Linked DNA regions of Drosophila melanogaster. The gene in region 2 interacts genetically with the main gene of each other region. Each region holds a gene or a part of one and is shown on either strand. Other genes may lie near its edges. The genes, in order: btz, Ge-1 and DCP1.

Region 1 (9,913 bases), on a different chromosome or scaffold from region 2:
GCTCCTGTGCCTGACGTACCTGCTCCGCTGAGGCTTCGGCTTGTAGCTTCTCCTGGCGCCGCAGCTCCGCGCGGCGGTTGAAGATCGCCTGCATGGCATTACGGACGTGATTGGGTTTGCGCATCGCCGCCGAAGGAGCCAAATGAGGCGTGATCTTGTCAGCATTCTCGTGGGCCACCCGGCGCTTCTGCAGAGCCGCCGTGGCTGCCTCGGTGAAGGTATCAATGTCCGGAGAAGGAGCTTTGCGCTTGCGAGAACTCTCCGGGTTGGCATTGCCGCCTTCGTCCTTGTGCATCTGCGCAAATTTTTTTTCCATCTCGTCAAAAATCATTTCACACTGGCGTACAATTTCTCCTTCCGAGGTGTCTGCTTCAAAATCAAAGTCCATGTCATCCAGATCATCCATAGGTTCTGCTGGTGTCAGTACAGCTGCTTCAGTATCCTTATCCGCCTCCGGTTCGCTCTTTGAAGTGCCAGCGCTTTTGCTGGAAGACGAGCTCCTCTTAGTTTTGGACCGTGAACTCGAGGAACTAGATTTGTGATGATGGCTCTTCGAGGAGGATGATGAAGAACTGCTCTTGTGCCTGCTACTGGAACTTTTGTCGTCGCGGTGCTTATCGCTGCTGGATGACTTTTTGCTGGAAGAGGAGCTAGATGAAGACTTGTGCTTAGAGGAACTTGAGCTTGAAGTATTTCGCTCCTTGGAGCGCTCCTTGTCGCTGTGGGAGGACTTTCGCTTATCCCTATCATTTTTTTCCTTCTCTCTGTCCCTTTCCTTGCTCTTCTCTTTGTCTTTTTCCCGGTCCCGGTCCCGGTCCCGATCCCTGTCTTTGATCTTTTCCCTTTTCAGCTCTCTGATCTTCTTCTTTTCTATATCCCTTTCCCGCTCCTTGCTGGGCTTTCGATCCTTTTCGTGGCTATCCCTAGCATCCGTCAGTTGCGTATTCTCCTGGTCCTCCTCGTTTTCAGCTACCGTATCTATCTTCTGTTCTTCGTCGTTATTCTGGACTTGCTCCTCAATCTCCACCTGCATCTGCTCATCAATTTCCTTTTCGAGTACCGCCTGCCAATCGTCATATTCTTCGCCATTTGTAACAGATGGCTGGCCGGGCACATATTTGGGAGCACTGTCCACGGACGCCTCCTGCTTCTTCTTAGCCGGCGATGCGTCAAGAGCCGGCTTCTCCGGGTGGTACTCCAGATTGGACTTCTTCCGGGGCGCACATAGCGTGATCTGGGGCAGTGGAAGGGAGAGCAACTTGGGTGCCGGCTTGTACTTGGGCACGGGGGAAGGTTCTGCAGGTGGAGCGGCCTCCAATTCGTCTGTAAACCGAGAGTGGATAGAATTTGTTGCGAAATTAACTGGACGTAATTCACTCACCTTTGCGAGCATGCTTAAAGTGGCAAAAGGGGCGCTTGCAGGACGCCGCATCCTGGCCGTCAAAGTAAGGGCACAAGAAGCCCTTAAAGAGACCCGTGGATGGCAGCATTTCCACCTCTTGCTGGGATTAGAAATTTAATAAAGCCGCTTGAGAAAACAAGCGTCCCAAATTTCTTTCTATTCTTTCTGCCTGTCTCTTTCACTCATTTCGACAGATGTCAGCTGTTTCAGCTGCTGGCGGCGTTGCCAGATAGGCGTCAGCATGGATGCTATGAATGGATGCTAAGGAATTAAATTAAATAAATTTAAATAAGTTTTAAATATTTACAAAACATTGAATGACCTATTTAATTAATAATTGTAAACAATATTCGCATTTTGTTAACGGTTACAATGTACGTTTATGGCAGTTGATTGCATCAATCCGGGAGGATTATATCTTGCGGTACGATGTACAATGCTATGCGATGTTAATAAGAATAAGATGTACGTAATAAGAATGTGGTGACTAACGGTATAAACAAATGGTGTAAAAAGTCTGGCAACTCCTGCAAACAGCTGTTTGCTGTGCCAATTTCCTATAGGGTCTTCGCCGCTTGTAAACAAAAACGCAGCAGTATAATAATAAAAATAATTGTTTAACCTATAAAATTGTTTGCTTATCTAGCCTAATGAACTTGATAGCTGCGGAACCGTTTTAATTTCGATCGAGTGCATCGCAAACTGAAGTTCGGGCGCGACATTCAACTGCCGCCTCATCGAAGGTTTGTGTGGGTGTGTCTGCTGGAATATGTTATTAAAAAAGAAATTCATATAGAAATTCAAATGAAACCGGCCATTATCGGTGGCCGACTGTCTGCAATAGCAATGATTAGGGTGATATATTATCGCACTGAGTCAGTGGACGCGGGTGGCGGATCCCACGGTGCGATAATTCAAGTGCTCCCCCTCCGGCAAGGTTTGCTGTGATATGGAACCAACCTATGGATTCAGTCGTATAACGGCAGTCTGGCGCTTCAGTTGTCTCCGGCAAAAGTGAATTCCCCATCGAGTACAAAGGTCAGTGGGCTAGAAATTCGCCTATGATTTCACCAGTGCGCCGGGAGTATAAATATTTATAAAGCTCCCCAATCCGGACTTTGTCCAGCTTGAGGAGATTAGTGAAGATAGTCGTCTAGCTGCAGTCCAAGAAAGATTACGTTCAACTTGACGCATAATCCGCTTAGTTGCACATTAAGTGTTCTTAGTTGTGTGGTATTAATTTGCACACCATTTTAATGTTTAACCTATAAGATGAGATCAATTTATTTCCGATGTGAATGTACTCAGTAATGTATTGGGTGAACTTTGGACCTGACGAACGTAAAAGCGATTCCCGATATGATTATTGTACTAATCTGACTTAGGCCTATAGAAAACCACCACACGCGCAGACTGATATCAACGATTCCAACGTGTCCCCCGCAGCTAAACCACCATGGACCGGGCTAGTCTATATTTTATGAGCAAGGATGATAAGAACACCTTCGACTTCGACGAGACCTTACCTTCGCTCCCGCTGCCGGAGCTTAGGGACACCATGGAGCGCTACTACAGCTGCATCCAGCCATTCGGGACCAAGGAGGAGTTGGCCCAGGCCCGCAAGACTATTGATGAGTTCCAAAACGGAGTGGGAGCCCAGCTGCACGAACAGCTCAAGAAGCGGGCGGCCGGCATGAGGAACTGGCTGGGCACCTGGTGGGAGGACTACGGATATCACCTGATTCGGATGCCGCTGCTGCCCTACCAGCTCATGGTCATGCCCTCGCAATTGGAAATGGTGGGCGTGCCGGAGACACCGGAGTACATGCTGAAGGTGAGTGGACCCACACCCCAAGCTCTATAAGAACACAAAGTTTAAGATTGCCTAATTGACTGTATAATTTTCGAAGAGTCTGGCGCGCCACATTCACCACTCGCTGGAGTTTTGGGATCTGACTAGAAAGTCCAGCATCAAACCGCTCTCCTCGAACGGCGGTAAAATAAAGTACTCCTCCGCGCTGTACAAGCACTTCTTCTCCACGTGCCGTGTGCCAGGCGAGGAGCAGGATCATATAGAGAAGCATTTTCTCACCAAGGATGAGGGCAAAACGCCGAGTCACATGCTTATTTCCGGCAAGGGACGTCAGTTCATCTTCGATTGTGTGCACGAGGACGACACTATCCTATCGGCTCCCGAAATCCTCGTGGCCCTGCAAAGAGTGCGCAGCATCCTCGACTACGAGCCGTTGGGCGATTGTGTGCCCACCCTGAGCCATGACGAACGCTCCACGTGGGCACGCAACCGCAACCGTTTGAGGGAAATCTCAGTTGCAAACAAGGAGACGCTGCTTCTGGTGGAGAGCGCATGTATGGAGATCTGCTGGTACGAGCAATCGCCCAAGGACTACGAGGAGTCCTGCCAGCTGGGTCTCTACGGTGATCTCCATTCCCGCTGGGCAGACCGCAGCAGCAGCATCATCGCCTTCCGCAACGGACGCTGCAACTGGACGGGTGAGCACAGCTGCTACGATGGCACGGTCAGCATAAGTTACGCCACATTCATGCAACTGAGCTTCCTGGAGGTGCCAGAGCCAGACTGGGCAGAGGCCGAAAAAGGCAATGTTTTGGAGGTCAAGGAGCTGCACTTCCAGCTGGATGATACGCTCAAGAACGAGATCAAGCGCGTGCAGAAGGATATTGATGACAGGGTAGGCAAAACGCCTTTTTCCGAAACCTGTTATTGAACTAGTTAATCCTTTTGTATGTGGTATCCTTAGGGTATTGACGTTACTGTGACCTTCACTGCGTTCGATGACTACGGCAAGGACTTTATGAAAACCCATCGACTGCATCCAGACTCCTTTGTTCAGGTGGTCATGCAGTGGGCCTACTACCAAATGCATAAAGAGTGAGTTCACCTCTGGACTAAAAAAAACAGCACTAACAACACTCCATGGATATCCAACAGAATTGCTCCCACATATGAGACTGCTCTGATGCGACAGTACTACAATGGACGAACAGAGACCCTGCGATCATGCACTTCCGCTGTGGCTGAATTCCTGAGGGCGTCATCCAACAAGCAGGTTGGCGATATGTCACTGGCCAGGGCGTTCCGTAGGGCAGTCGATGAGCACAAGCACTTCATGAACGAGGCGCGCAAGGGACACGGCATCGATAGGCACTTGTTTGGCCTGTGGTGCGCGGCGTATGAAAGCAAAATGGACATTCCCGCCTTCTACGACGATCCGATGTACACCAAGAGCGGCGGAGGAGGTAACTTTGTGCTCTCGTCCAGCACGCTGGGCTTCACGGCCAACGTTGGTTTCGTGGCGCCCATGGTCTTCGATGGCTATGGCGTCTTTTACTCCATCACCTCGGAAGCGTAAGCTAGACACTCCTCCATTATCTTGAATTGTTCTTTAATTTCGTACATTCTAGTGTGTTCATTAATACCACCGCCTATCGGGATAGCCTAAAGACAAGCGCTCGCAAGTTCAACGACATTTTCAAGGACTCATTCCGCCGCATCAGCGTTCTCCTGGAACAATTGGCCAAGGAATCCAAGCTATGAAAAGCTCATCTAGTATTAAGAAAAGATCTAATCTTACTTTATGTCGTCATTGAAATTCAGTTCTCATTTTTAGTTCCAATCAGAAAGTAGATTTTTGGTTTTTCTTTCCATTTTGTTTCAATTAGCACAATTACCTAGATTTTAACGAACAGTCGAATTTAAATATTTTTTATTTGAAATTGGATCCCTAGTTCAACCCACCTTTCACCGGAAACTAAGTGAAAACGCAGACTTCGTTGGTAGTTTGTAGTTTGACAGAAAGGGTGTGCAGCATTTGTAACTTCGTGTTAAACGTTTATTTAAATTCAATGATCGATTAGTTTTTGCAAATACATTTCTCTCGGTAATTCTTGTGTTTCAATTCTAAAATGCGGCTAAATAAGCTAAGCGCCCAGCCGCTTCAATACGTTAGCCGGCCCTAGATACTACGTACAAATTAATTGGAGCTTGCGCCGGATTACAATATATATATATATAATCGTCTATATACGAAAACTTTTCGTTAGTAATTTCGATTATCTGGGAGCTAAATGCTAATTACAAGTGGTTCTCACTGCGTTTCTTTATTTATGCAGTACTTTTTGAGTCGCAGACCCAAGGACAGAATGGGGGAAAAAAAATCGTATGAGTTGAGTTAGGAGCTGGGCTGTCCGCACTAGTGCGGCGGGGGCGGAGGTCGATAGTAGCCAGCGTGCGGCTGCAGCATTGAGTAGCCGGAGGAGGGCGGCGGCGCTATCCGTTGGCCTCGTCTCTGCTGCTGCTGTGGCGGCAAGCCGGCGTACGCCTGCACTCATTCCTGCCCAGTGGCCGGAACTGGCTGAAGGTTCTGCTCGGCAGCCGGTGGAGTGGCTGCCGCCTCTTCCTTTGTTCCCCCACCTGGAGTTGCGCCTTCGCCGGTAGCCTGGAAGGCCGAAGGTCGCTGCACGAACATGTTGTCAATGATGTGATCTATGTTGTCCGAGATGCCCTCCTCCTTCGCTCCACCCTTGACCTTATGCTTTTCGGAGGGCGGGAGAATGGGAATCGCGTTGGTGGGACGACGCTGGGGCAGAGCACTTGGTCGGCTAGTGGTTTGAGCCGGCGGTACAAAGTAGGTTGTGCCACCGACCGTGTTGTAGTTCTGATACGGCTGAGCCGGCTGCGTTGCGGGCGGCGCCTGAGCGGGCGGCGGTGTGGGTTGTGTTACAACCGGAGGCCCTGCTTGGGCGTACGCCACGGCAGCCGGAGTGGTTGGCAAGTAAGCGGCACTAGCCGGATTAACATACGGTGCCTGGGGAACGGGCACTGGAACTGGCTCCGTTCCGGTCACATAGTACGGTGCCGCCTGTGCTTGCGGATATGCGGCTGCCGGCGGGGCATGTGGCTTTGGTGGTGTTGGAACTGCTCCTGCGGCAGTAGGTGGTCCAAGTTGCATGGTCTGCAGTTGGGCCTGCAGCTCCTGTTGCTGATAGGCGATCTGCATCAGAACATGGGGGTCCTGAATCATGATCTGCGATTGTTGCTGCTGCTGTTGCTGTTGAAGATGCAACTGCTGCTGCATCTGCTGTTGCTGCTGCTCAGCCAAGTGCTGTGATGCCTCCTGCTGTGAGCGACGCAAGCTGGAGTAGCGCTTGGGCGCATTTCGTTGTTCCTGATGCAGTGGCTGCTGCTGCTGCTGCTGAGGCGCCTGATTTTGGCTAGCCAGAGAATGCATCTGGACACTGCCCACATGGCTGGGATCATTGCGTTGCTGCACCTGCTGGAGCCGCTGCGAAAGGTTCGACGTGGAAAGCGGCGTCTGTGGAGACTGCTGCGGCTGGGACGGCTGTCGTTGCTGCTGTGGCTGTTGCTGATGATGAGGTTGCTGCTGCGGCTGTTGTTGTTGGTTGGAGCGTGGAGTGGATGGCTTCTGGTTACGGTTGTCCAGTTGGTCTGGCCCCCGCTCCCGCTCTCTTAGCTGCTGTCCACGGTTGTTCTTCTTAAATTCCATGCCATTCTGACGTCCGGGGCCGCCGTTCATCCGCCCGAAGTTGCGATTCTTGGGCTCTCGATCGCGTTCCCGCTCCCTTTCCCTCTCACGTTCACGCTCCTGGGATCTGTGTGGATTGGAGCTACTGGCCAAGGGCTGTTGCTTCTCTGGAACCAAGCCTTCAGCAGCGACGGACCGTCGGTTTTCCTTTTCCTCACGCGAGGATGATGTTCGTGGACCACGTGGCTTTCTTTCGTTGAGCGCCGGGAAGTCCTGTGGCCGCGGCGGCTTGCGCTCCTTATTGCTGGCTTTGAGGTAGGCCTGCTCGTCCTCCCAGTTTCTTGAGTATTTACTAGGCCCACGCGTATATCGCCGGCGACGTCTGGCTCTGGGTGGTGCGTCCTCGTTTCTAATGTCGTAGCCGTATGTTTGCAGCAACTCTGCACGGGATTTGGGAGCCTGCTCCGTGGCCTCGAATCGATCGTGAGACCAGCGATCACCGCCTGAAGCTGGTTGCCATTTTCGCATGGTCTTCGATGCCTGTGAGATCTGTGGCGTTTGGCCAGTCGGCGTGGCACCGGCGGCCGCAAGTCCATTGAGTTCGCCATTTGGCTCCGCCGCCGCCTGGCCAGCACCGTTTTCGGGTTCGATCAGGATTTCTCCCTCGGTCTCCGCCGTCCGATCGTCGTGCTCGTAGAAAGTGCCCCGCTTTGGGATGTACTGCGGATTGCTGCGATCCTCGTCCACCTTCTTCTGGGCCTCACTGTCTGCGACGGAGCGGTCCATCGCCTGCTCCCCTTCGCCATCGTCCGTTTCGCTGCCCACCTCATCGTCCTCGTCGTCCGTCTCAGATTCCTCCTCGCTCCCACTGCCACTGGCGCTGCCGCTGGCACTCTCCTCGTCGTCATAGTCCTCTCCGCCCTCCAGATCACTGGCCGTGTCGTACTCGGAGTCGTGCGGATGCGAATTGGAGTTGGGCTCCTGGGTGGGCGAGGTGCCCGGCTCGACGTCCACGGTGGTATCCGCTGTGGGCGTTACAGCCACTGGCGCCTCGCTGGCAGGTGCAGCCGTGGCCTGGGGGATGTCGGTCGGGGGCGTGGCCGCCGTTGGTTTCTCCACTTCGGCCATCGCGGGGTCTCTTCGGTTTTCTGCCTCGCTACTGCTGCTGCTGCTTCTTCTGCGGAATGACATAGAACGGGATTCTAGGTGTCACTGGGATATCCAAGCCAGGGCTCCGTATATCAACTCACGTGCGAATTCTTGACAAGGCCTAACTACTCTAGTAAGCGTGCTTCTTGTTACGGTAAATTCTAAGAAAAAACCAATAATTTCGCACAATTTTCTCGACAACAACGCAATCAGAAAATAGAAAGTCTAGGGTTACCTTTCTCTCGCCGCAGAGATGCCACACTGTTGAAAACGTAACGACAGGGCGAGAAACGTAGCAATGTGCATACGTATTGAAATAGTGGCAGCTCTGGTAGTTACCGGTTCATGTTAGTAATAAAAAACATATAGAACATAGAACATAGAAAAAATATTCTATTACTTTTTTTTAATAGTTTACAATATTAAGTATCTTTGACAAAAATTCACCTTTGAAGTATAGAACTAAATCCTTAGTATTTCTTTAGTGGCTATCGAAAACGGTATCGACGGCTGGACATCGCTGGCCAGCTGTTGTAGGGGAAGGAAAGAGAGCGTAAAGCGGAGTTCGAATAGAGCGACAGACGATTAATTAATATCACTTGGAATCAGAAGTCGGACAAGAAGCAGACTCCGCAGAACAGGAAAAGATGTCGAAGTTTCTGGGCGTGCCGCTGAAGAAGCCGTCGGAGGTGGATGTGATCAAGCCGCTGAACAATCTCATCCAGAGCACCTACAACGGTGCGTCGGAGGAGGAGAAGGGCAAGTACGGAGAGGCCGTCAACGAATTTTCGAAACAACGCAATACGGCAATTTGGAAATTCTTTGAAAAGTACGAGGCTTCGCTGGAGATTGTGTACGCGTAAGTACCACCATGTCTTTGTGGCCTTCTTCCGGGAATCTCCCGATGAGTCACCCGCACAACGGGGCAGCTAATCACACCCATTCCATTCGATTCGATTCCACCTGGTGCTTCTGTATTGGTGTGGTGGTCAGACGTAAACAAGCTCTCGGATGACGTAGTCGTTAACTAAATGTTTTGCCTCCGGGTTTTGTTGCCTGCTCTGTATTTCCAGCTATTATGACCAGATTTGTGCGCTGGAGACCAAGATATCGGTTAGCGAACTTCAGATACCCTTTAAGTGGAAGGATGCCTTCGACAAGGGCTCCATTTTCGGCGGCAAGATCAGCCTGAGTGAGTGATTCATTGCCATGTGCCAAGTATATTTCACCACTAACCCAACGGCATCCACCATCCACAGCTCACACCTCCTTGCTTTACGAGAAGGTCTGTGTGCTCTTCAACATTGCCGCCCTGCAGAGCAACATCGCTGCCAACCAGTCCCTGGATTCGGATGACGGCCTTAAGCTGACCATCAAACTGCTCCAGCAGAGCGCCGGCATCTTTCAGTATTTGAAGGGAGCGACGCCAGCGGCAGTGCCCTCGGAACCCACGCCCGATCTCAGCCAGGATACGCTAACCGTGCTGCAGGCTCTGATGGTCGCCCAAGCGCAGGAGGTTTTCATTCTGAAGGCAATTAAGGGTATGTAAAATTAATTCACAAAGAGCACGAACACCGTTCACATTTAAATGCTTATCTATGAGCAAAATTTAGTTGTTTACATTGGGCGATAAACTATTTTATCAGGTAAAAGCGTCTTTGGCATACAATAAAAGCACTCAATGCAATATTTTTCGGACAAAGCTTATCCGAAGATATTACTTTTGATACGTGGGGACATTACCCAGTTATTTCCTTTGAAATTATATGATAAGAACGATTGAAATGAATCATTCCATTCAACAAAAATAATGTACCAATCAATGGCTCTAGAGTAATGG
Region 2 (12,307 bases):
GATCTCAGTGAGTTAAGAGTGCCTACTCCTCCAGAATTCCTGCATCCACGATCAATTTTGGTTGCCGCTTCGTTGCCCATATCCACGGGTGACGGTGCTTGTAATACCTTGCCCATGGCTCGCTCCCCGAGCTTTGGAGGTGGCTACTATCGCAGGGAAGAGCCCCACATAGCCAGATCACTAACAGATCAACCCACGTGTTCGCTGCACCACGAATTCTCGCTGCTCAACACAAACATGCCTCATGTGGAGGTAGACACACTAGATGCCATAAAGCGGTACGCCTGCTTCAAGATTTGCGCCGGTGGACACACGGTTATTTTACAAGTGACTTTCACGACATCGTATCCAAGTCCTAGTGCTCCGCCGGACTTTCAGCTTTGCCAGGGAACCACTCTGTCCAGTGAAGTTAGTGGAGTTCTGCTAAAAGTGCTCCGTTGCAATGCATTGCAACGGGTCAAGAAATCCCGCACGTGCCTGGAACAATGCCTACGTGCTCTAGTGGCGGCTATGAAGAAAAAGGTGGCCGCTGTAGGCGGAGCGGATCGTAGCCAACTGCTCCTGCAATCCCCTCGGCTGGAAGGAGCTTTGTCGAGCACCCTGCACGATGCCTGCATTCCATATCCGCGGACGTCAGGGGTCCATTTCAATGCCATTGGTATGCTGACCACTTTCGCCCAACCAGTGAACAACAAAAGGCTGACCCTGCGGCAACACACCGCATTGACTCCACGGACTTTTTCATCGATTAATGGTAGTGGATTGCTAGGCAATGTGATGGCCACCGCCCAGAGGGAAGCTAACGCCTCCTTTTACCTCCAGGAGAGGATGATTTCGGGAAAACCGGGCAAGCAGCGAGCCATCCGACAGATGAATGGAAGTCCGGTGGTTCACGTATACGACACAAGTAGCTTACTCCACATTAGTCGGAGAATGGCTCGGGAGTTCTCCCTCGATAAGTGCAACATAGCAGAAACGTGTCGTAAAAATGGTGAGATCTGTCGCCAGCATGGGCGCTTGGACTTGGTGCCCGTGTGGCTATTGGCGGAACTGATAGCCACACCCCAAATTCCACATGAAACACTCAACGATCTGCTGTTCTACAAAGATCCCTTCAAGAAATCTCTGCTGGAATCACTAATAATGCATTATGCTATCTCCGGTGACATACAGACTGCTGTGCTGCTGGCTTGTTTGTTTGACAAGTGCCCCACGGGTGGCGGTGCCATTATGGAGAAGACAGTTCGACTTCCGCCGCAGCTTAACTCGCAAATTTCACCGTATCACACGGTCCTGCCGCTTGACGTCAAGTCATCTTCTTCATCGAACACTTGGCAGCAACTTAAGCAACTACGCAGCAACTCTTGGTCCGACTCCCTGGATTTGGAGATTAAGCAAATCCAGTCTGATGCATACGCTTGCTCATTGATTAGACGGACTAAGATGCCACTGTTTGATCAATTTAAGCGCGCCTATGCCGAAATTTTATTTGGCTGGCAGTTGCTTTCGAAGCGGGCTTTGATCCTCAAGCACACGCAGAATACACCACCTCCAGTCCAGGGTGTGGAATTCGTTACCGAGTGCAGGAAGTGTGCCAAGCCCAAACGGACGCCCAAATGCGAGCCCTGCAAGCGACCCGTACTCTTCTGCGTCCTCTGCCGTTTGCCTGTGAAAGGAGCAGCCAATGCGTGTCTGGCTTGTGGCCATGGCGGTCACATTGATCACATGATGCAGTGGTTTGAGGTTGGTATCTATTTGAGTTTGATTCGACTGGTTTCTTTTTCACGAACCAAACGATGTATGGATTTGGATTTATGGATTTATGGATATAAATATATTCATGTTTGCTATTTTCTTGTTTAACTTTCAGAAACACAATGTCTGTGCTACGTGTGGCTGCAAGTGCTTGGAGCGCACCTCAGAGCTGCTAGCCCTACTCAGCTGATTCAGACCTTGAGTGATGTGCATTCCTTTCAAAAATAATCTTACTTAACTTTCTTTCGTCTGTGTGGATATCAAAATAGTTAGGTGTTTTTTAGTCATTAGGCCAACAATTTTTGTACGATTTGCATACCATTGAGAAATATATGACCACTTACTAGCCAAGCTAAGGGTAAAAGCTTTATGCAACTATACACTTAACCAAAATCATATGGTTACGATAATTCAAAAAGAACTGTTTCTAGATTTTTTCAAGTACATACATTTATTCTTTTTTATTATCGACTTTTGCTTTCTGTTTTTTTTTTTTTTTTTTAGCTTAAATTCTACGATTTACTTGTAGTTTTTGCATTTGCAATCTAATAATTTTTTTGTTTTGTCCGTCATAATAAAGTTTGCTTTAGTTTTGAAAATAATTTTTAAATAAGTTTCTACAGCTCCTATTCTTGTTTTTGTGTGTTTTCTTTTGTTCATTAAGCGTCATAAAGATAAAAAGGAAAATAAAAGGAACGCAAAAATAAAATAATAAAAAAATATATTGCAATTTAGTAGGCGAATCATTATAAAGATAATACAATTTTGATATAGCGACATAAACATTAGATATACGGCCTTACTATAAACAAATCACGCACAAAACAAATAAACAATAAAATGAAAGGCATAGATTCAATTTCAACTTTTTAAGGGATGAACTTAGCTGAGAGCTTTTTAGCATACTAACTTCTTTTTGGACTTAACTACAAGCGTGTATTTATAAATGTGTTTGTGGTCATAGATTAACTATCTTGGATGGGGATCGGATGGGTAATCTATCAAAACCAGCCACTGGCCAGGTTATAGTTCTCTTGATATCATTTTAGCTGATCGCGGTACGTTATGATTGCCTTCATCAGCAGACGGACGTTGCTGAACTGCGAATTCTTGGGGCTGTTCTTAATGAACTGCTGACAATTGCGATACAGCTCGGTGAGCACTTTAGGAGCGTGCTCGCGGGTAATGGGATCTGCCATATTGATGGCCAACAGTGCCTCGTTGAGATATCTACAAATGAAAAAGGTACATCATCAATGTAATTCTTTGTAATGTTTTGTTACTTGTTTAGTTCTCCTAGCTCACCTCTGCTTAAGCTCATTGTGATTGGTCATGTCAGCGGATATTTGCTGAATGAGCGACAGTAGAACCTTTTGCTCCAGTCTGCATCCCTCTGGTGCGAATGCCTGGTTGCTGTCCGTGTGTCGGAGAGTGAACTCCACTAGGCCCAAGTCGTTGGCCAATAGAGCCTGATGGAAGGCCTTGTTGATTTGTCCAGCCATCAAAAGCTGCTTAATGCTGTCCCTGAGGTCGTAAGGTGGTGCAGGCGTAGCTGCCTGCGAACGCATTGCCACGTTCTGGGCTTCCATGTGCTTGCGTAGCTCTGCTCTGATCGTTTCCTGTACCTGACGCGCCAGCAAAATCTCTAAGCTCTTCACTTCTCTTTGTGTCTCGAGCATGGCGTCCGTGAGTTCAGTGCGGTGCTTGTGCAAGCTGCTCTCTACCAATTGCTTAAGCATGGACAACTTGTTGTTTATCTCCTCCGTATTGCCACTCCCGGCTTGGGGCTGTGGCATGTGCTGCAGGTAGGTGTTAAACTGGACCATAACTGGAATTCAAAAGAAGGAGCTTTATGTATCCATTATGATTGTAATGATTATATACTAACAGTCTTTTATGCCCACGCTGAAAGCGTCATGCAGTTGTTTAAACATGTTCTGCGAGGACTTCTCATAAGCTGGAATCAAGGTGCTGCTCATAGATTCAATGAAGGCGGTTTGTAGGCTGGTTTGAACACCAATCAACACGGACTTGCCAAAAGTATCCAGAAATTGCTAAGTAATGAAAAAAAAACGCTTAATTATAAGCATTTATAGATGGACTTGCAGATTACGTACCTTGCTCTTGCACACCTGGGCAATATTCTCCTTCACCGTTTTGTCAAACACACTCAGCTTCTGCACAATCTCCACTTGCATTTGGGCTTGGAGCTGATCCATGTTGGCATTCACGCGAGGAAGCAGTTGGCGCTGCAGTTCCATGTTGAGAACGTTGCCAATAATGTCCGTAAAGTGGTTCATGACATACTGATTTAGTACCTGCAGCACGGAGTCACGTAGCTCTCGGTTTTGGCTCTCACTGCAAAAAGTATTCACTTGGATTGTGCCCCGGAAAATTTGTTATATGTATCTTACCGCGCCGCCAAGAATTCCGTCAGTTTCTTCTTATGCTCGTTTTCATATCGCTTGAGATACTGCTCCATTAGCTTGGACAGTTGCATCTCAATTTTATATGCTAGCTGACTAAGATTTTTAGGCTCCAATGAAGTGTCTTGTTTGCTATGCAGGGCCGCCGCCGCTTCTTGCTGCTTTTGTAGCTTGTTGACTTCGTTCTCCAATTTGTTTATTTGTTTGGACTGGGCTTTTACTAGATCTGCAAATAATTTATGTGAAATTGTTAGTATTTGAAGTACGTTACGCCATCATGCCTCTTTTAATATAAAATATTTAAAATTTCTGATTGAAGATCACAACCACTTACCTATGAGTAGTTCCATTTTGGCATTTAGCTCTCCAGTTCCACTTGAATCAACGCATGTTCCGCCCGCGTTGTTGCTGCTGCTGGTGTTGCTGGTGCTAAGAGTTGTAGCCGTGTTGTTGTTGCTATTGCTGCCTACACTTGTGTTATTATTGTGCCCTCCACCTAGCGTAGGCGGCACATTGCCATTGTTGGTGTTCTGCACCGCCTGGGACATGATCTGGGCAGCATTCTGGAGCTCAGCTGAGTGGGATGACAGCTTGACAATGGGCCATGTTCCGTCAACAGCTTCCGGGAGCGGTGATGAATTTGCCAGCTCTTCTTCCTCATCGTCATCATCGTCGTCCAGATTCTCTAGCTCTGCTTCGTAGGCATCGGCATCGTCCTGTGTGGCCATTATCTCCTGCACCTCTCGACTCGGACTCGAACTGCCGCTGGCCAAGTTCTCAGCCACATTCCGCTCTGGATTGCGATCAATTGCAATGAACTTCTTGCGAGCGTCAAGCTTTTCCTTCAGCTTTTGTTGCTCGCGATCTTCGATTAGGGTGTTGTTCATTAGGTTGAGGAGTACCTCGGCATTGGGGTTTTCGGAAGTCTTGGACGTTACCGTGGCCAGCATTCGTATAGTTTGCAGAACCGCTGAATCAATGGATCTATCCTGACCGCTGGTGGTGGTAGAGCTATCAGTTCCTATTGAAGTTGTGGTGCTGGTAGACACAAATACAGCTGCTGCCGCTGCGGTTCCGCTTGCACTGAAGGCATCTGGAGTCATGAGATTAACCTGCTGCGTATACGCGCTGCTTAGTTGCGGGGACTCTGACTTGGCCGCCTCCTTAGTGGCGTCCTGCAGGATGGCCGAAGGTGCCGCAGCCGCGGCTGCCGCCACGGCCACCATGGCAGATGAACTGCCCGTTGAAGCTCTCTTTGCGGATTTTGCGAATAATGCATCCAGCTGAACAGCACCCACAGTTCCACTGTTGGGGGATTCCGGCTCCTCTTTGATTAGCAGATTGTCTTCTGGCGTCTGTGATCGCTTGCTGTTTAGGCTGCTCCGCTCCGTCTTTTCAGCCACACATGGCTGGTAGATTATTTGACATTCCTGCAGGCTCTTTGCCTGCACCACAAACATGTGCAGCACAAGGGCACTGGTGGAATTGGAATCGTCATCGAAGTCATCGGGCTCCTCAATAGGATAGTAGCTCTCGATGGAGTTCTTAACGCGACGCATACTAGCGTTTACAATAGAAAAAGAGAGAATCCCCGAACTCAGCTTGAATTCGGCAACATTCTGAATGCGTTTGGAAGTGTCGCAGCCTTCTCCTTCGCTATCGCTACTCCTATTCTCGGAGTCTGCGCCGCCAGTACTGCCAATCTGCATTACATACACGGCCAGAGAGTCCAGGCAAGACAACACCAAGTAGTTCGCACTGCGATCTATGCCCGCGATAAAGTTTCTGGGCTGCAAAGATGACGGACTGGCCACCACATTGATAGTTTGGAGGCATTTCCATAGCGAGCAGTTCCAGAGCTTGATTTCGGTATTGGCATCGCTCGTAGTGATCACGTGCTGCCAGTAGGATCTAATGGGAAAGTTTAATATAATAATTATATTTAATTATTATATAATAACTACTTACTCTTCCACAGGCTTGTTGATATTGTCGAGAAAAAAGAGAGAGCAGACTTTTTTGCCATCATGTGGCTTCCACTCGTGCAGGCAGCGATGGTTGCGCACATCGAACAAATAAATTTGGTAGAAACGAACCAAGCCATCGGCGCAAGCAGCAGCCACAGTGGTGCCATCCGGGGACAAAGCGGCGCACGTGATCAACGAGTCCTCCTCAATCTTCAGATATCCAGATTCTAGGGCTGCTGGTTGGATCTTGCCGCGCTGTTAAGGTAAATGCCATTAATGATATGTTTGGCGCTGAACATTAGCACAAACGAACCCCATGTTCAGAGACAATCATCTTCACTTGAAAGCATTGAAATTGAGAGCTTCGCGACCAAATGAGCAGCTGATTCTCATCGTCATCGTCGTTGATTGGAACGGTGGCGCTGCTGCTGCAGACATAGGGACACCAGGAGACCATATCGTACTCCGGCACATAGTTGGCGATGGGGTCCTCCACCTTTAGCACTAGATTGCACAGCAGGTTCCCTTCGATTTGATCGACTTTGTAGACAAACAGCGAACTGACATCGATCACAGCTAATATACGCTCACAATCCGTATGGGCAAACTGCAGATCTAAGACCTCGCCGCTCATTCCCTTGATCAAGGCTCGCATACTGGTGGCTATGTTGCATACGCGCACCATGCCCTCCATTCCGGTGGCTTTGTTGTTGACTGGGAGCACAATGAAGTTATTATACAATAGCTTTTAAATTAATTTTAAAATTAACACAAGGTAAATGGGTTCATAAGTATACATAATAATTAAACCATCATTCCCCGGAAGCTCTGTAAAATATTGATTGGGACATGATTCCCATCGATAAATTCAAGAATCATTCCTTTTTTATAAAACTCAAGAATTGCGAGAAAAAGTTGTCACACATAAATAAAATCTAATTGGTCAAGAAACTGCAATGGGATATAAATTACTTACCATTAATGGCGTACGCCAGGTGCTTGCCATCGCGGTGGACAGCGACCAGGTGACCCGGATAGTAGTACTTGCGCTCCCACTTGTAGTCGACGATGTTCTTTAGCTTGACCTTGGAGGAACCGCGTGTGTGAACGCCGCCGGATGTGAGGACCTTGGTCTTATTGGATCTAATAACGCGGCAACACTGCTTCTCTTGCGCTTGGAAATGGCTGTTAGGCACAAAAAAAAAAGAATTAATTAAGCAAGGGCCGTCTATTGGATAACCGGTGATACGCACATGACTTCTATTTCCTGGGGCTCTGCCGCATTGCCGTTGGCGGCAATCGGCTTGTCCTGTTCGGCGCTGTTGCTCATCCCGGATGCTGCGTCAATGGCTGAAGCAGTAATGCTGATGCAGGCGTCTGCTGGCGGTGGATGGTACGCGGTACTTGCTTTGCCACACCTTGGCGACCGGTGGACAGACGGCGGCGGGGAGGAGGAGGCTGACAAAGGCGTCTTACGAAAGATTGGCAAGTGTGCAAGCGCGAAGAGCGCGATTAACATTGACACATCGGCTGACTGCAGGTGGGAGGATGATACGGCATGGGGGTACACATTATTAATTTCGCCAGTTGATGAACAGCAACGACTCGCACACCAACCTGCCCTATCAATACGCAGCAGTCGAATGGTCTCCTTTACTCCTGCTAAATGCACCCAGCCGGTACTTGGTAAAACTGGCCTCCAGCAATTGATCGTCTACTTAGCGAAACTAAACCATTTAGTTGGCTGCTTCTCGTAAACTCACAAATTTTCGCAAAAAACTTTTTTTTTTTTGCCGCAAAACCATAGAGGTGTGTAGCGGCGTGTGCTAGGGCAATCGATGGACAGCGTCTGTTATCGGCGACGCGGATGCCAGGGATGGACGCTCAGCGAAACGTTCTTTCGAAATCAAGAAAACACGTTTCGGTTGCACTTTCGTTTTATTGCATTTTAACATCAACTTAATACATTTATCTTTATTCATAGAGATGTATATCCATCAAAACAATACACATTGATTACGCAGCGACGTAATAATATGTTTACATAGTGTTTCAATATCACTTTTTCTTTTCATATTACATTTTGTTTCGTTTCTCTTGTGTGATTGTGTGTGGTGGTAGGTCATTGAAAATGTTTAACAAGTTGAAGAAAAACTCATATATCTAATGGTTTAAATATGCAAAAGATGTGATATATGCCGGTATGTCTGATAAATTCAAAGTTAGCATATACGTACAGAATCAGTGGTCCGAGTAAATCAAATTTGTCTCCTGTTTCGGTAGAAAGAAATTTTGGTAATTGTAGATAATATCAAGTGTTATTGTGTTTTATCGTGTACACTATACAGATAGAAAATATATTAAGATGTATATATTTTTTGAAAAACCTAAGCTAAGCTTTCAAGGAAATGAATTTCTTTATCGATTTTTTACCTTTCACTTTTCTAATACTTAAACATTAAGCCTGGCTTCTTTTTAGGTTCGTTTTTTGTAGTTCTTATTTTTGAGTTAATGTTTTTTTTGTGGTTTTTAATTTTCATTGCCGGAATGAATAGAAGGGACATTTTCGAGGCATACACAAAACAGTAATAAATAGCAAATGGAGAAGTAAAATGTCTTCGCAGCAGGAAATATTACACCTGGGATTGGACCACTTTGTGGCAGTTTCATTAATCACTAGGGTGAGGGTGAGATACGGAGTGCGGAGTGGCTGTCAAGCGAAAGAATTGTGTGTCATTTACTCGTAACAATTAGGAGAAGCGCATATACATATATCTCTAAATATACATATACATACATATATAAATCGATCTGCATAAATATCTATAGAGGCGGCATTATTGTTGTTGTTCTCGCATGATTTGTTTTGTGTTCTTGAGATTTAACTAGCCTACAAATTAAATTAGCAACTTCAATGCATAAACGGACGAGCTATCAGATCCATCGCTGGTGTTTCTACCCGCTTAAGACTGAGCAAGCTCTTGAGTAAACAAATGGTAGTTACATAGAAGCTGTTGGAACTTTCAGATCTGGCGAATATTTATCTGCAGACTGTGTAAATATTTTCACAACGAAATTTTACGAGCCTACTCAAAGATTTGCCCAGTCTTATCGTTGTGTAAGCACCTCGAATCGTAAATTGTGCTTGCAACATACAGAAACAACAAAATAAGTGTTTAACATAAAGGTGAATCGATTTCTTTCAGTGCATGAACAAATGAATTAATACTAATAGCATGAATTCATTTCAGCTATTTGCCTTAAATCCGAGGATTTCATATTAAACTTGGTCGTTATCAATTTTTTCTCCGTTTTTGGTAATTTCAATTAGTATTCAAATTTAAGGGAAACTAATTCGTAGTTTTTCTGAAATCTTACGCCCAATATGTATCTAATGCAGTTTAATGTGCAGAAAAGAGGGAAATATACTAATAGCTTAAAGAAAGTATAACAAATTATAAGGAATGTTAAATTTTGGTTCGAGACACTTAAAATGGTCGCAAAAATACACACACAGGCAAACGAAAGTCACATATCGCCCAAAAATAAATCGATTCACCCTCATTCACATGATCATTTTCGCTGCTTAAACGTTGGTATAAGCAGCTCCTGCCGAACCAGAGGATCCACCGGTCACGTTTGCTGTCACCGGTGCGCAAATCGAGGAGCTCGTTCGCCCTGTACTATCACTGGCATTAAGTCCCTCCAGCTTGAGACGCATCTCCTCCTTGCGCGTCTGGACGCTCAGAAGTTCGTCACTTAAATCGTTGCAAAGGTGGAGCAGTGAGTTGTTCTGCTCCCGCAGCCGTTGCAGTACTTCCGTGGTATTGGCCTGACCCTGTTTGAAGGACACGTGACGTAGCGAGTCACTGATGGCGGTTACTCGCTTCTCAAAGCTCTCAGCACTGGGCAGCTGACCAGTTTGGGTGGTCAAACCAACAGCTGGAGCCGGCGGTGGCGGCTGCTGGGGCGGCGATTGCGATCCACGTGGCGTTTGCGGCTTTCGGTAAACCTCGAAGGCAGAAACGCGCTGCTGTGCCTGCTGAAGAGTGATTCTTGTGGGCGGCACCACTGCTGCCTGTGGCGGTGGTGCTGCCGGCGGCAAGGAGTGTAGCTGCTGCTCGTCCACCTATAAGGTCAGAGTACCAATTAGTAAGACAATCATACAAATGGATGCGTTTATTTATATAAGCTACTGAATTTGGACACATGACACTAGTGGAGCTACGGCCAATTGTAGTGGAATGCTTTACGAGTTGCATACATTTAGGATTGGACTTACGACGTTCGCGGCGCCTTCGTCGGCAAAGTGCGTGAAATCGGCAAACCCCGTTGAGGTTTGCATATCGAAGCTGGCCTGCGCGGTGATCTTAACAAAAGGGGTTCCATATTTATATACATTTCACAGGTTATAGGTAGGTAGTTAGGCAAAATCAAGCAAACAAAAAACACAAAAACAATATAAGCAAATTCGGTTTCCCGAAGTTTACGGTTTCCTTTGCAAATGCTTAACAATTGTGGACTCTTAAAAGACACTGTATTTTCATTTCAATAAATTGAATCTGTAGCAAAACTGTATTCGCCTTCATTTGCACAGTACACCACAAATATTGAAAACAGAGACGGAACACACGGAATGTTTTGGAAGTTCCTTAGTTTGTTATAGCATTGCAGGGGATAAGTGCGGATCTACGAAATACTATCCCCTACAAGGCTTTATTTAATGACCAAGGCATATAAAACGACACAGATTGAAATTCTCAGATAAAATTGGAAATTGTTGGTCCATAGGACATAACATACCTCCGCCTGTTGGGCACCGCCCGTTGCGCCTATTTTAAACTTGTTTAAGTCCAGACTGCTGCTCCGTGCATGACGATGTGGCCTTGGCGGTGGCAGAGGCGGTGGCTCCTTCTTCGACGCCAAAGACGATGCCACGTAGGCAGCCTGCGGTTCCTGCGACTCACTTGGCCCAGTGGATCCGATACTGGGCTCGCGTTGCGGTGGCGGTGGCAATGCACTGTTCTTGGCCGGCAGCTTTTTGGCTTGAGGCCGTTGGATGGCACGCAGATCGCTGCTATCGCGGTGGGAGGAGCCAGCGACTCCCGATATTCCGGGTACAACAGCAGATGACTGATTATTGACAGTAGTCGAAGAGATGGCCTTGGGACTATCCTCGCGCTGAGCCACCGCGCTCTCGTTTTCGTTAGATGACTCAGCTGAGGAAGCGATGGCGGTGCCTACAGATGAGATAAGGAATAATTATATTTATATTCAATTTATAGAATACTATTTTAGTTCTTCTACTCACCAATGGGCGTCACTCTTAGCGGCACTGGGTGCAGAATCTGCGGATTGGATACCACGTCTTGGGCCGAGCGCTTCATATCAAACAGGACTGGCTTGAGCCCGGGACTAGATGCGCCAGAAGCGGCTGCTCCGGCTGCTACAACAGGTGCTGCCCCAGTGGTTGACTGTACCGAAACCGCACTTGTTGTTGGAGATTCGCTAAACTTTGTCCACTGACTGGAGACGTTGGTCGAGTCTACAGCGCTTGCCGTAGAGGAAACAGTTCCCGACACAGGTTTTTCCACATTCGGCGAGTTTGAGATGCTTCGGTTCTTGCCCAAAGAATTCTGTGGTGTTGCCTCACGTTTGGAACTGTTGCTAGCCTGCGAGGACGTGGATATGCTGCTCAGATTCATGATGTTCTTGTCGCTGGGCACATTGGGACGCGGTTTGCTGGTCGTACTGCTGCCGCTGAGATTGCCTGCTATGATTGTATTATCCGTATGGTCGTCCTCATCGTCATCATTTAGGTGCAGGAGATCAGCCTCAGGTGGCTCCTGAGGCAGCGCCGCCGATGACGAGGATGTCACCCCCTGTCCACTGCCGGACGCAGCTGCTTGTAGCACGTTGGGATGCAAACAGTGGGGCAGACTTGTGGGCAAGGGAATGTTGTTGCGCCGTAGAACCACCAAATGCATGGCGGCCGTAAACTCAGACAGACTTAGCGCTCCATCGCGGGTAACGTCACACAACTGCCAAATGTGACGTAGCTCCTCCACAGGAATGCGGCTCTTTTCAAAAAAGTTTCTAATAAAAAAAGGAATAAGAAAATAATAAGAAGAATAAAGTTATAAACGTTCCTAAAGCCAA
Region 3 (8,650 bases), on a different chromosome or scaffold from region 2:
TTTGATTTTTGTAAATAAAAAGGAACAGAAAATGGCTGAAACTTTTGCCGAGGAAAAGCCCAAGGAGAAGTCCAAGGCAAGCAGGCGCAAGGACAAGAAGGACAAGACCAATCAGATCGTTAAGGTACCGTCCAGACTGTCTTAATCCCACGATCCTCCGAAACTAATGCATTCATTGCAGATTGTGATGCGGCATTTGCCGCCGACCATGACGGAGGCGCAGTTCCTGGATCAGGTGGGTCCTTTGCCGGAGAACGACTCGTATTACTACTGCAAGGCAGACTGGTCGCTGGGCCAGGAGGCCACCTGTCGCGCCTACATCGATATGTCCTCCAAGGACATAGGCGAGGTGGTGCAGTTCCGGGATCGCTTCGACGGCTACGTCTTCGTCGACCACAAGGGCGTCGAGTACATGGCCATCGTGGAGTATGCTCCCTTCCAGTGCTTCCTTAAGAACAAGGCCAGGAACGACGACAGCAAGGTGAACACCATCGAGAGCGAACCCCACTACCAGGAGTTCATCAAGCGGCTGGCCCAAGAGCGCGAGGAGGCGAGTCGCATGGGCGACGTCAAGATCGACTTCAACTTCGAACGGCGAACAGAAGAGAAGGTCAAGTCTACACCCCTCCTGCAGTACCTGGCCAACAAGAAGGAGAAGCGCCGGGAGGAGGCGCGCAGGCGGAACGAGGAGAAGCGGAAGCAACGCGAGGAGCAGAAGCTGTTGCGATTGGCAGCGCAGTCGGACGCCAGCAAGCTTAAGGAGGCCGAAGGAGGCGGCGGAGGAGGAGACACGAAGAAGCCAGCCAAAAAGGATGTCAAAGATCCGCAGTCATCTGGATCCCAAGCCAATGATGCCAAGGCCTCGCGCTCCAAACGACGAACGGAGCGGGATCAGAGGCGACGCGAGGAACACGAACAGCGTAAGCTAGTCAAGCGGGACAAGAAAAAGGATGACGGCCAGGGCAAGCAGGACAAACAGGACAAACAGGACAAAGGCAAGCCATCCAGCGGCAAGCAGAACAAAAATTCAAAGTCCATGGACATCGTTATCTTGAAGAAAGCAAACAAGCCAGAATCAAACGAGAGTTTGGACGTGCCATCCACTTCTAACGCTGCGGAGGCCTCGAAAGAAAAGCCTGCGACTGAAAACACCGAGACACCAGAAGCTGCTGTCAAGGTTTTTACACCGGCTGCCAGAGGTGGTCGCAAGGAAAAAAGAACCGGCGCAGACAAGCAGCCAGCAGGTTCCGCCCACGAAACTGCAGAGGAAGCCATCAAGGCTGCTCAATTTCGAGCTTCAGAGGAGCGGCGCATTCGGAATAAAGTGGGTCTCACCTATTACCCCCCTCGACATTTTACTAACCCGCTTGATGTTTACAGGATCGACCATCGATTGCCATTTACCAGCCCAAAGCCCGAATTCGTGCATCAGATGAGCTGCCCCAAGGTGCAGGCGGCAAAGATGGCTCGGATGGAGAGGCTTCCGTGGTGGAGGAGAAGACTTCGAAGAGGAACAAACGCCCCAATCGGCGCAACAAACCCAAACCGAAGGAGGTGAAGGAGTGTGAGCTCGAAACTCGTCGCTTCTCCAAATCCTCCGAGAGCAGCACCAGCGTCAAATAGCGATAACAGACTTTTATTGTTAAATAAATCGTGTACACATGGCTGGAGCAGACCGGTCAGTAGAACTCGTCCTCCATCTCCATTTGTGTGCTCGACTTTTGATTATTTTTAACCTGATCCTGCGACTGGTACATGTGGGCCACCTGATTGGCGTCCGTTGCGTTTTCGCTATTCTTGTCGTCGCGTATCCGAATGAACCGAGGGAATCTCAAGGAAATGCCCCGCTCTCCGTCCACAATGCCAATGGCTGCTCGGTGGATCGGACTGAGCGACAGATCCGCGCATTTGACTTCCCACACCTGGACCGGTTCAAACCAGTGATCGGGCTCCAGGCTGGGGTCGTATCTGTAGTAGGATTTGGCGGCGCTGGTCACATGTTTGCCCAAAAACTCGGAATGCGTTTGCAGGTCCTCATCAGTGAAGCCAGTTCCAATCTTGCATATGCTCTGATACTCCTCGTTTTCGGTGTCATAGCAGGCAAGCAAAAATCCTCCGTAGGTTCCAGTTCGCCGGCCCTTGCCTTTGTAGCCACCAATGACCACCAAATCGAGTGAGTCGCCCACATTGGATAGGTAGTCCTTCTTCAATTTCAGCCAGTTGCGGGATCTCTTGGCAATCTCATAGGTGGCCTCCTCATCCAATGTTTTGACCATGAGGCCCTCGCAATTTCCTAGTGAAATAAAGCTTAAGTAAACAACTTTTAGGTTGGTTGGCAGGGCAAACCTTTGATAGACTCCTCCAGGAACTGCTGCACTTCGTCTATGTCATTGGTGTCCAGAGCAGTGGCGAACTTCCACTCGCCCTCGACCTCTTGAAAGTGCTCCAACAGGAGCTTGCGACGCTCCGACAGGTTTTTGGTCACCAGAGCAGTGCCATTGATGTACAGCAGATCGAAGATGTAGACACAGACTTGGACCTTGATTTCCTCGATATCAACGTTCTTCCGTTTGCGCGTGCTGAGCACCTGAAACGGCAGAATCTGCTTGCGCTCCACATCCCAGGCCACAATTTCGCTGTCTATGATGTAGGACTTTACGTCGCCCTTGAGCAAGGCAGTGCTCCTGGCAATCAAATCCGGATATTTTGCCGTGTTGTTCTCGGAGTTGCGCGAGAATATGCTGATCTCCCCCTTCTCGTTGCGGTGGATTTGGGCCCGCTCTCCATCGTATTTCCACTCGCAGGTGATTTGCATGCCGCCGAATCTCTCAAATACCTCATGGACCCCCTTGGTGGGCTGGGCGAGCATGGGCCTCAGCGGCATGCCGGGATGCATGGGGCAGCGTTCCTGCAGCTCCTTAATATCGTACTTTAGAATGGCCGGTATAATGATATCGTAGTTGGGACACTGACTGCAAAAGTTCGTTAGCATCTGAATTATTAGCTGGTTCTTAAGTTAGTTCTTACCAGTATGCAGTTTTCAACAGCAAAGTGGTGTCGACTATTTCATCCTTATACACATCCGGCACCTTGCTAGCCTTGCAATCATCGATGTGGTTCTTTTTCACCAAACCAATGGCCAGCGCTGTGAGCAAACTCTGCTCTGCAATGCCAATTCTTAGCTTGCCAATCAATGAACGGATAAAGAAGCGAGCCTCCGACGATCGACAGGCCACAAACATATTGTACACCAGGTCCATTTTCGACTGACCGGATAGCTTGGCTATTTCGCGTAGCTTCCGGAACACATCCCTCACATTCAGAGGCGCTGGCTGGAACATCATGCGCTGTGAAACGCGCGACTGCTCGGCCACGATGCCCAGATCCCCGGTTAGCTGCGTCTGCGATTTAATGTGAGCCAAATTACGCCCCGTTGCCTTGCAAATGGCCTTCATCAAGGTGGTCTCGGCAACGCCCAGCTCCAGTCCCTCGTAGGCGGGCGCCAGTTGGTTGATGCTGAGGTAGACGCTGGGCACAAGATCCTCCGGACTGACCAGCATCACAGAGCAGAAGAAGTTGCTCAGCGTGTCGATCATCTTGAGCCGGCCTTTGGTCTCCTCGATTACTTGAAATGTGCGGGCCAGTGCCAAGTAGGGAGTGCTGGAAAGTGTTTCCTTTGATATAATTCGCCTTGGAGGCTCAAAATCCTGCACTACTTACACCTTTTTGTCCTTCCAGTAGGCATTCTTGAGCGGATGATAGGAGTCGGCGGATGGATCGTAGTTTTCCACATCCTCCTTAGTAGCGGCAGTGGAGTTGAGACCTATGGTTGTGACCTTCTTGTCAGTGGTCTTGTCATCGACTTCCTTTGGTTCCTTCTTAACATTTTTCACCGGACTTGTCTTCTCCTCGGAATCCACAGACATAGGTTCTACCTTGGGCTTAGTTTCCGGGGAGGCACTTTCGCTCTTGATGTGGGGTTCATCTGGGAGTTCGGTCTTCGCATCAATCCTATGATTTGTCGAGGAATTTAGTAATGAAACAAGAAAACAGCGGCACCATTTACTTAGGAACTTTCTTGGGCGGCGAGGGGCTGTCGGTGGCATCGGATTTCTTCTTGAAGAAGGAGCTGAAACGGGGGATTGTTAGATTGGCAATACTTAGCATTTGTTAAATCGTAAATTACGTTATAGACTTTTGCATTTTGTGGCAATTCTGTGTTCAAATAAATACAAATTGCAATGCAATTAGTTCCCGCCAGTTTCTAGAGCTGGTCTTCAGTATCGATATATTGAAATGGAAATGCTATCGAAGTTGAAAATTTTATTAGTAAACATAAATTAAATGTTTATGCTACATAATTGAGAAATATTATTACGTACAATTGTGGCCATTTTTATATGCAAGTCAATCGACTTAATATTTCTCAAACAAATCATTAATAGACAAAAGGAAGAGTTTATTGTCATTCGGTGTGACCGCAGCACAGTCGTTGATAAACACGGGAAAACATCCACGGGGCAGTGTGACCAGAGCGCCGTTAAATTCACAAATAATTGCAATTCGCAATAGCACAGCCAAAACTGAAGATTACATACAATTTACAATGGCCGACGAGAGCATCACGCGAATGAACCTGGCGGCCATCAAGAAGATCGACCCGTACGCCAAGGAGATCGTGGATTCGTCCTCGCACGTCGCCTTCTACACGTTCAACTCGTCGCAGAACGAGTGGGAAAAGACCGATGTGGAGGGAGCCTTCTTCATATACCACCGCAACGCGGAGCCCTTTCACAGCATCTTCATCAACAACCGACTGAACACCACGTCCTTCGTGGAGCCCATCACCGGCAGCCTGGAGCTGCAGTCGCAGCCGCCGTTCCTGCTCTACCGCAACGAGCGCTCGCGCATCCGCGGCTTCTGGTTCTACAACAGCGAGGAGTGCGACCGCATCAGCGGCTTGGTGAACGGGCTGCTCAAGTCCAAGGATCAGGGAACGAATGGCCAGGCCCAGCGTCACGTCTCCGCGCCCCAGCAGCCAAAGCAGGACAGCAGCCAGCCGGCCAGCATATTCAACATGCTGACCAAGGCCCAGAAGGACTACAATGCCCAGGTGAGCGGCGGGCAGCCGAAGACGCCTTCGGCGGAGAACGTAACGGCCGGCAATGTGTTGAAGTTCTTCGAATCGGCCAAGCAGGCCACGGCAGAGTCACTGTTCCACCGCGTCCAGCCGCTCTCCGTGGACCAGCTGGAGAAACAGCAGCGGGCAGCCACGCCTGGCGAGGATCTGTTGCCCCCGGCAGGCAGGGACAATCACGAGAGCCGGCTGTCGCCCTTCCAGAAGATGCAGCAGCTTAACATTCAGCTCCTGAGCGACCTGAAGATCGGTAAAAGCTACGCTACGGCTCAATCTCCGACAGTCGCCCCGTCCTCGTCGGCGCTGATGGCCAACGACGATGCCGGCAAGTGCTTGCGGAGACTGCTGGCTGGCGACAAGCCCGGGCCGGCCCTCATGCCGCCCACCATGTTCGACGCGCCCAACAACGGCAATCCGGAGCCACAGCAGCCACAGCAGCCACAGCAGCCACTGCTGAACTCGACGCAGTTCGTCCAGGCCTTCACGTACCTTATCCAGAACGATAAGGAGTTTGCCAACAAGCTGCACAAGGCCTACCTGAACGGCTGTTCCAATCTACTGCTGGACTCCAGCTCCACATATCAATAAACAGAAATATTCAACATTTCCGAATTGCAGCCCATATTTTCATTTGTTCGCATGGAGTTCGAGTTCAAGCCGAGTTAATTTACAAAATGTAATAGCTGTAAGCCGACAAGGGCAGTCGTAGATTTAAAATCTAGAAGCCCCGCCGGAGAAGGACGGCATCCATTTCCAGAGCAACCTTAAGAGTTAACTAACGTAGTTGGTTTTGTGAAGTATTCGTATTTATTTACAAAATGGTTAACTAGGCCGAAGGGGCGTAGAAAAGGTAGTTGAATGGCAAACAGAATTCAATAAACATTAATTTAGTAACAATAAATAACAACGCTTTTATTTAGGCCAATACCTTCAGCTTGCAGAGCAGGTAGTACAGAAAACAAAACAGCCACAGGCTGAAGTCGACGTGGCTCCTGCCCGCCGCCGCGGACGTGGCCACCGTGGTCAGGTTCTTGCCGTATCCCTCGAAGGACACCACGCACTGGTAGGCATCGGGATCGTCGTCGGTGTCGTAGGCCGCCACCACGGCGCTGCCATCGAAGTATCCCTCCTCGTTCTCGTACACCATGGGCTCCCGCTTCACCACGTCCATGTCGTTGGATCTGTAATAGGAGCGGAGTTGAGTTGGGACGTTGTTTACTACAAGGCTGTCTTACGACAAGGCAGGCGCTCGTCCTTACATTATCGTGATGGTGGGCCTGGGATACACGTTCGTCACGGTGCAGTTCAGCTGCGTCTCATTGTGGATCGTCTTGTGGGACAGCTCCAGGGTGTAGTTCCTCAGGTCTATGACCTGAACCCTCTGGTGGCTGGAGAAGGTGTTCAGCGAGGTCTGCACCACGCACTTGTAGTCGCCGGTGGTGGCGATCGTGGGGTTGATCAAAGCCAGCGAGCTGTACTGCTTGCTCGGCTCCGTGGAGCTCTCATAGGTGCTGTCAATCTCGTTCCTGAACTCGGGCTATCAAGGAGGGGAAAGCGGTTAGTATCTTAAGCGCACCACACCGTTTGGTTCACTCACGATGGCATATGGAGGTGTTCCGAAGATCCACTGGTATATGGACTTGTCGTCTCTGTACCATTTGACGGTGATGAACTTCGGGCTCTCCTCCACCTCGTAGTCGCAGTCCAGGATCGTGGGCTCCATCTCCTCGTTCTGAAGGACTATAATCTTGTCCTCGGACTCATCCCTCGTGGGATAGCATAGCGCATCTGGGGGAGAGCGAATATTACTGATTAGAACGCAGAATTCAGAAACGAAACGAAAAGCTTTTAGCACGACGAGGTCTCGAAATTACAGAACACGCGCGGTATTATTTGGAATATATGTACATATGCAGCACAGGCAAATCCAAAACACATTGTACACAAAAATCTATATAATTTGGCGAAAGCGTATATTTACGAGAAGCGAAAACGCGATGAGCGGATGCCTGTTTCGTTTTAAAAATAGACACTAATAACAAACAAAAGCTAGAAAATTGAACATTTTTCATTCGGCAGTTTGTCATCATGTGTGCCAAAATTCTGAAAACTCTGTTCAATTTTATTAGGTTCCTTTCGCTGGAATCTTTTGCTTTCCACTTAGCATCTATTGCTCCGACTTCAAAACCACTGGCGCTTTTTCCACATTGAAAAACATATAGTTTCGAACACGAATAATTGCACGTAAAATCCTTCAGCCCGTTCAAATCCACAAATTAAAGGATAATCGAATCTGCACATATTGTTTATATATTGTTTATATATTGTTTATATTCCGTTTTAGCACATGTTAACTCAGAACCGAATGTGGATATACGTTCGTATTTATAGATATCCGATTTGTCATTATTTTTCTCAAGGTTTGCGCATTCGAAATTCGTTTATATGCGCCTTCCGAATGATTTCATTTCTTAATTTAAAAATCGCGTTTCCCATATCGGTTGCTGGCTGGATCGCCACAGGATCTGGCTGTACCTCTGTGGAGCAGTCCGATGGCCAGAATGGCGATCAGCAGGGTATCCATAACGGTCACTATCCTATCTACACTTCCACTTCCACTCGTATGCCAGACTTCTCAACCGATCCTAACTCAGCGGTCCGCTCGGCATGGTACAACTAAGGCAACTAAATGCTCTTGGCCGCCAGAGAACCGAAAACTGAAAACCGAGAAATGAGGAACGAGAGCTCTTGGCCAAGACCACGCAGCGTAACCAAACGAATTCGAATTTAGCCGAGATAATGCCGGCACTTCCTCTCCGGCACACGATCCTCCTACCCTAACCCTCCTCCTCCTCGCATAGCCCGTGCCACTTGACTTGTGCGCGACTCTCGGAGCACAAGCACGATCTTTGCATGGACATGTGGGGAGATCGCTCCGCAGCTGGCCAGGCACCACCACCAACCAAGTCGCCCTGCATGTGTGGGGGTTGGACACAACCTTTCCGCTTCGATACTCTCCGCTGCTCCTAGCTGCCGTTGACTATTTGAAAACCAGTTGGCCGCCCAGCTGAGGCGCACTCCTACAACTAGGGATAGTCGAGGGTAACATGCAAGACCGTTAAAGGACAGGGGGTGTCGAGCGTAGTCCTTAAGGACCTTTTCTTCTTCTCGACCGAAGTTAAGGGCTGTTGTAACGATTGGCGTTAATAATATGCTGTCTCCATGGCAATAGGGATCATTAACATTCCTGTAATTCTGTTGAAATTCCGATAGAAGGCATTTTTAAGTCGAATTTCTCGAATTTGTTTACAATTGAATAAATCTTAGGGTATTAGCCGTTCAGTTACTCATAGGTTTAAGTATATCCATATGCTTGAGTTTTTGTAAAGACTTAGTTAGTCGTTCCAACTCGGTGATTAGCAAAAGAAAAAGCCTTCACTATACCAAGTTAGTGTGTAAGTGCAACACACACCTATGCATGATAAACCCTTTTTCTTTACTTTATGTTTTCCA

Evidence for each region.
Region 1: of Ge-1 (region 2) and btz, changing one enhances a phenotype caused by changing the other (phenotypic enhancement), as found in Drosophila melanogaster (one study listed by BioGRID).
Region 3: of Ge-1 (region 2) and DCP1, changing one enhances a phenotype caused by changing the other (phenotypic enhancement), as found in Drosophila melanogaster (one study listed by BioGRID).

What each region holds. Positions count from the first base shown.
Region 1 is NT_033777.3:27,698,787-27,708,699, reverse strand, and holds btz (barentsz), read right to left. Parts: upstream 8,276-9,913; 5' UTR 8,116-8,275; coding exon 5,767-8,115; coding exon of another isoform or gene 5,632-5,766; 3' UTR 5,255-5,631; downstream 1-5,254. Other genes in the region: CG12877 (uncharacterized protein), read right to left, coding at 1-1,323, 1,382-1,490; CROT (carnitine O-octanoyltransferase), read left to right, coding at 2,859-3,236, 3,313-4,110, 4,180-4,310, 4,371-4,787, 4,844-4,976; ALiX (ALG-2 interacting protein X), read left to right, coding at 8,721-8,932, 9,147-9,265, 9,333-9,614.
Region 2 is NT_033779.5:11,092,893-11,105,199, forward strand, and holds Ge-1 (Ge-1), read right to left. Parts: upstream 7,997-12,307; 5' UTR 7,668-7,996; coding exon 7,402-7,667; intron 7,334-7,401; coding exon 7,125-7,333; intron 6,863-7,124; coding exon 6,462-6,862; intron 6,404-6,461; coding exon 6,150-6,403; intron 6,093-6,149; coding exon 4,516-6,092; intron 4,408-4,515; coding exon 4,170-4,407; intron 4,114-4,169; coding exon 3,873-4,113; intron 3,810-3,872; coding exon 3,644-3,809; intron 3,584-3,643; coding exon 3,061-3,583; intron 2,986-3,060; coding exon 2,796-2,985; 3' UTR 2,258-2,795; downstream 1-2,257. Other genes in the region: Wdr59 (WD repeat domain 59), read left to right, coding at 1-1,743, 1,871-1,945; Reps (RALBP1 associated Eps domain containing), read right to left, coding at 9,735-10,277, 10,431-10,517, 10,952-11,388, 11,460-12,244. UniProt on the Drosophila melanogaster protein: In the process of mRNA degradation, seems to play a role in mRNA decapping. Required for silencing a subset of endogenous miRNA targets.
Region 3 is NT_033778.4:23,886,149-23,894,798, reverse strand, and holds DCP1 (decapping protein 1), read left to right. Parts: upstream 1-4,522; 5' UTR 4,523-4,606; coding exon 4,607-5,725; 3' UTR 5,726-6,035; downstream 6,036-8,650. Other genes in the region: Upf3, read left to right, coding at 32-124, 182-1,324, 1,381-1,623; DNAlig1 (DNA ligase 1), read right to left, coding at 1,680-2,293, 2,347-2,972, 3,028-3,660, 3,721-4,011, 4,067-4,129, 4,187-4,203; CG5597 (uncharacterized protein), read right to left, coding at 6,054-6,318, 6,397-6,674, 6,735-6,925, 7,673-7,721.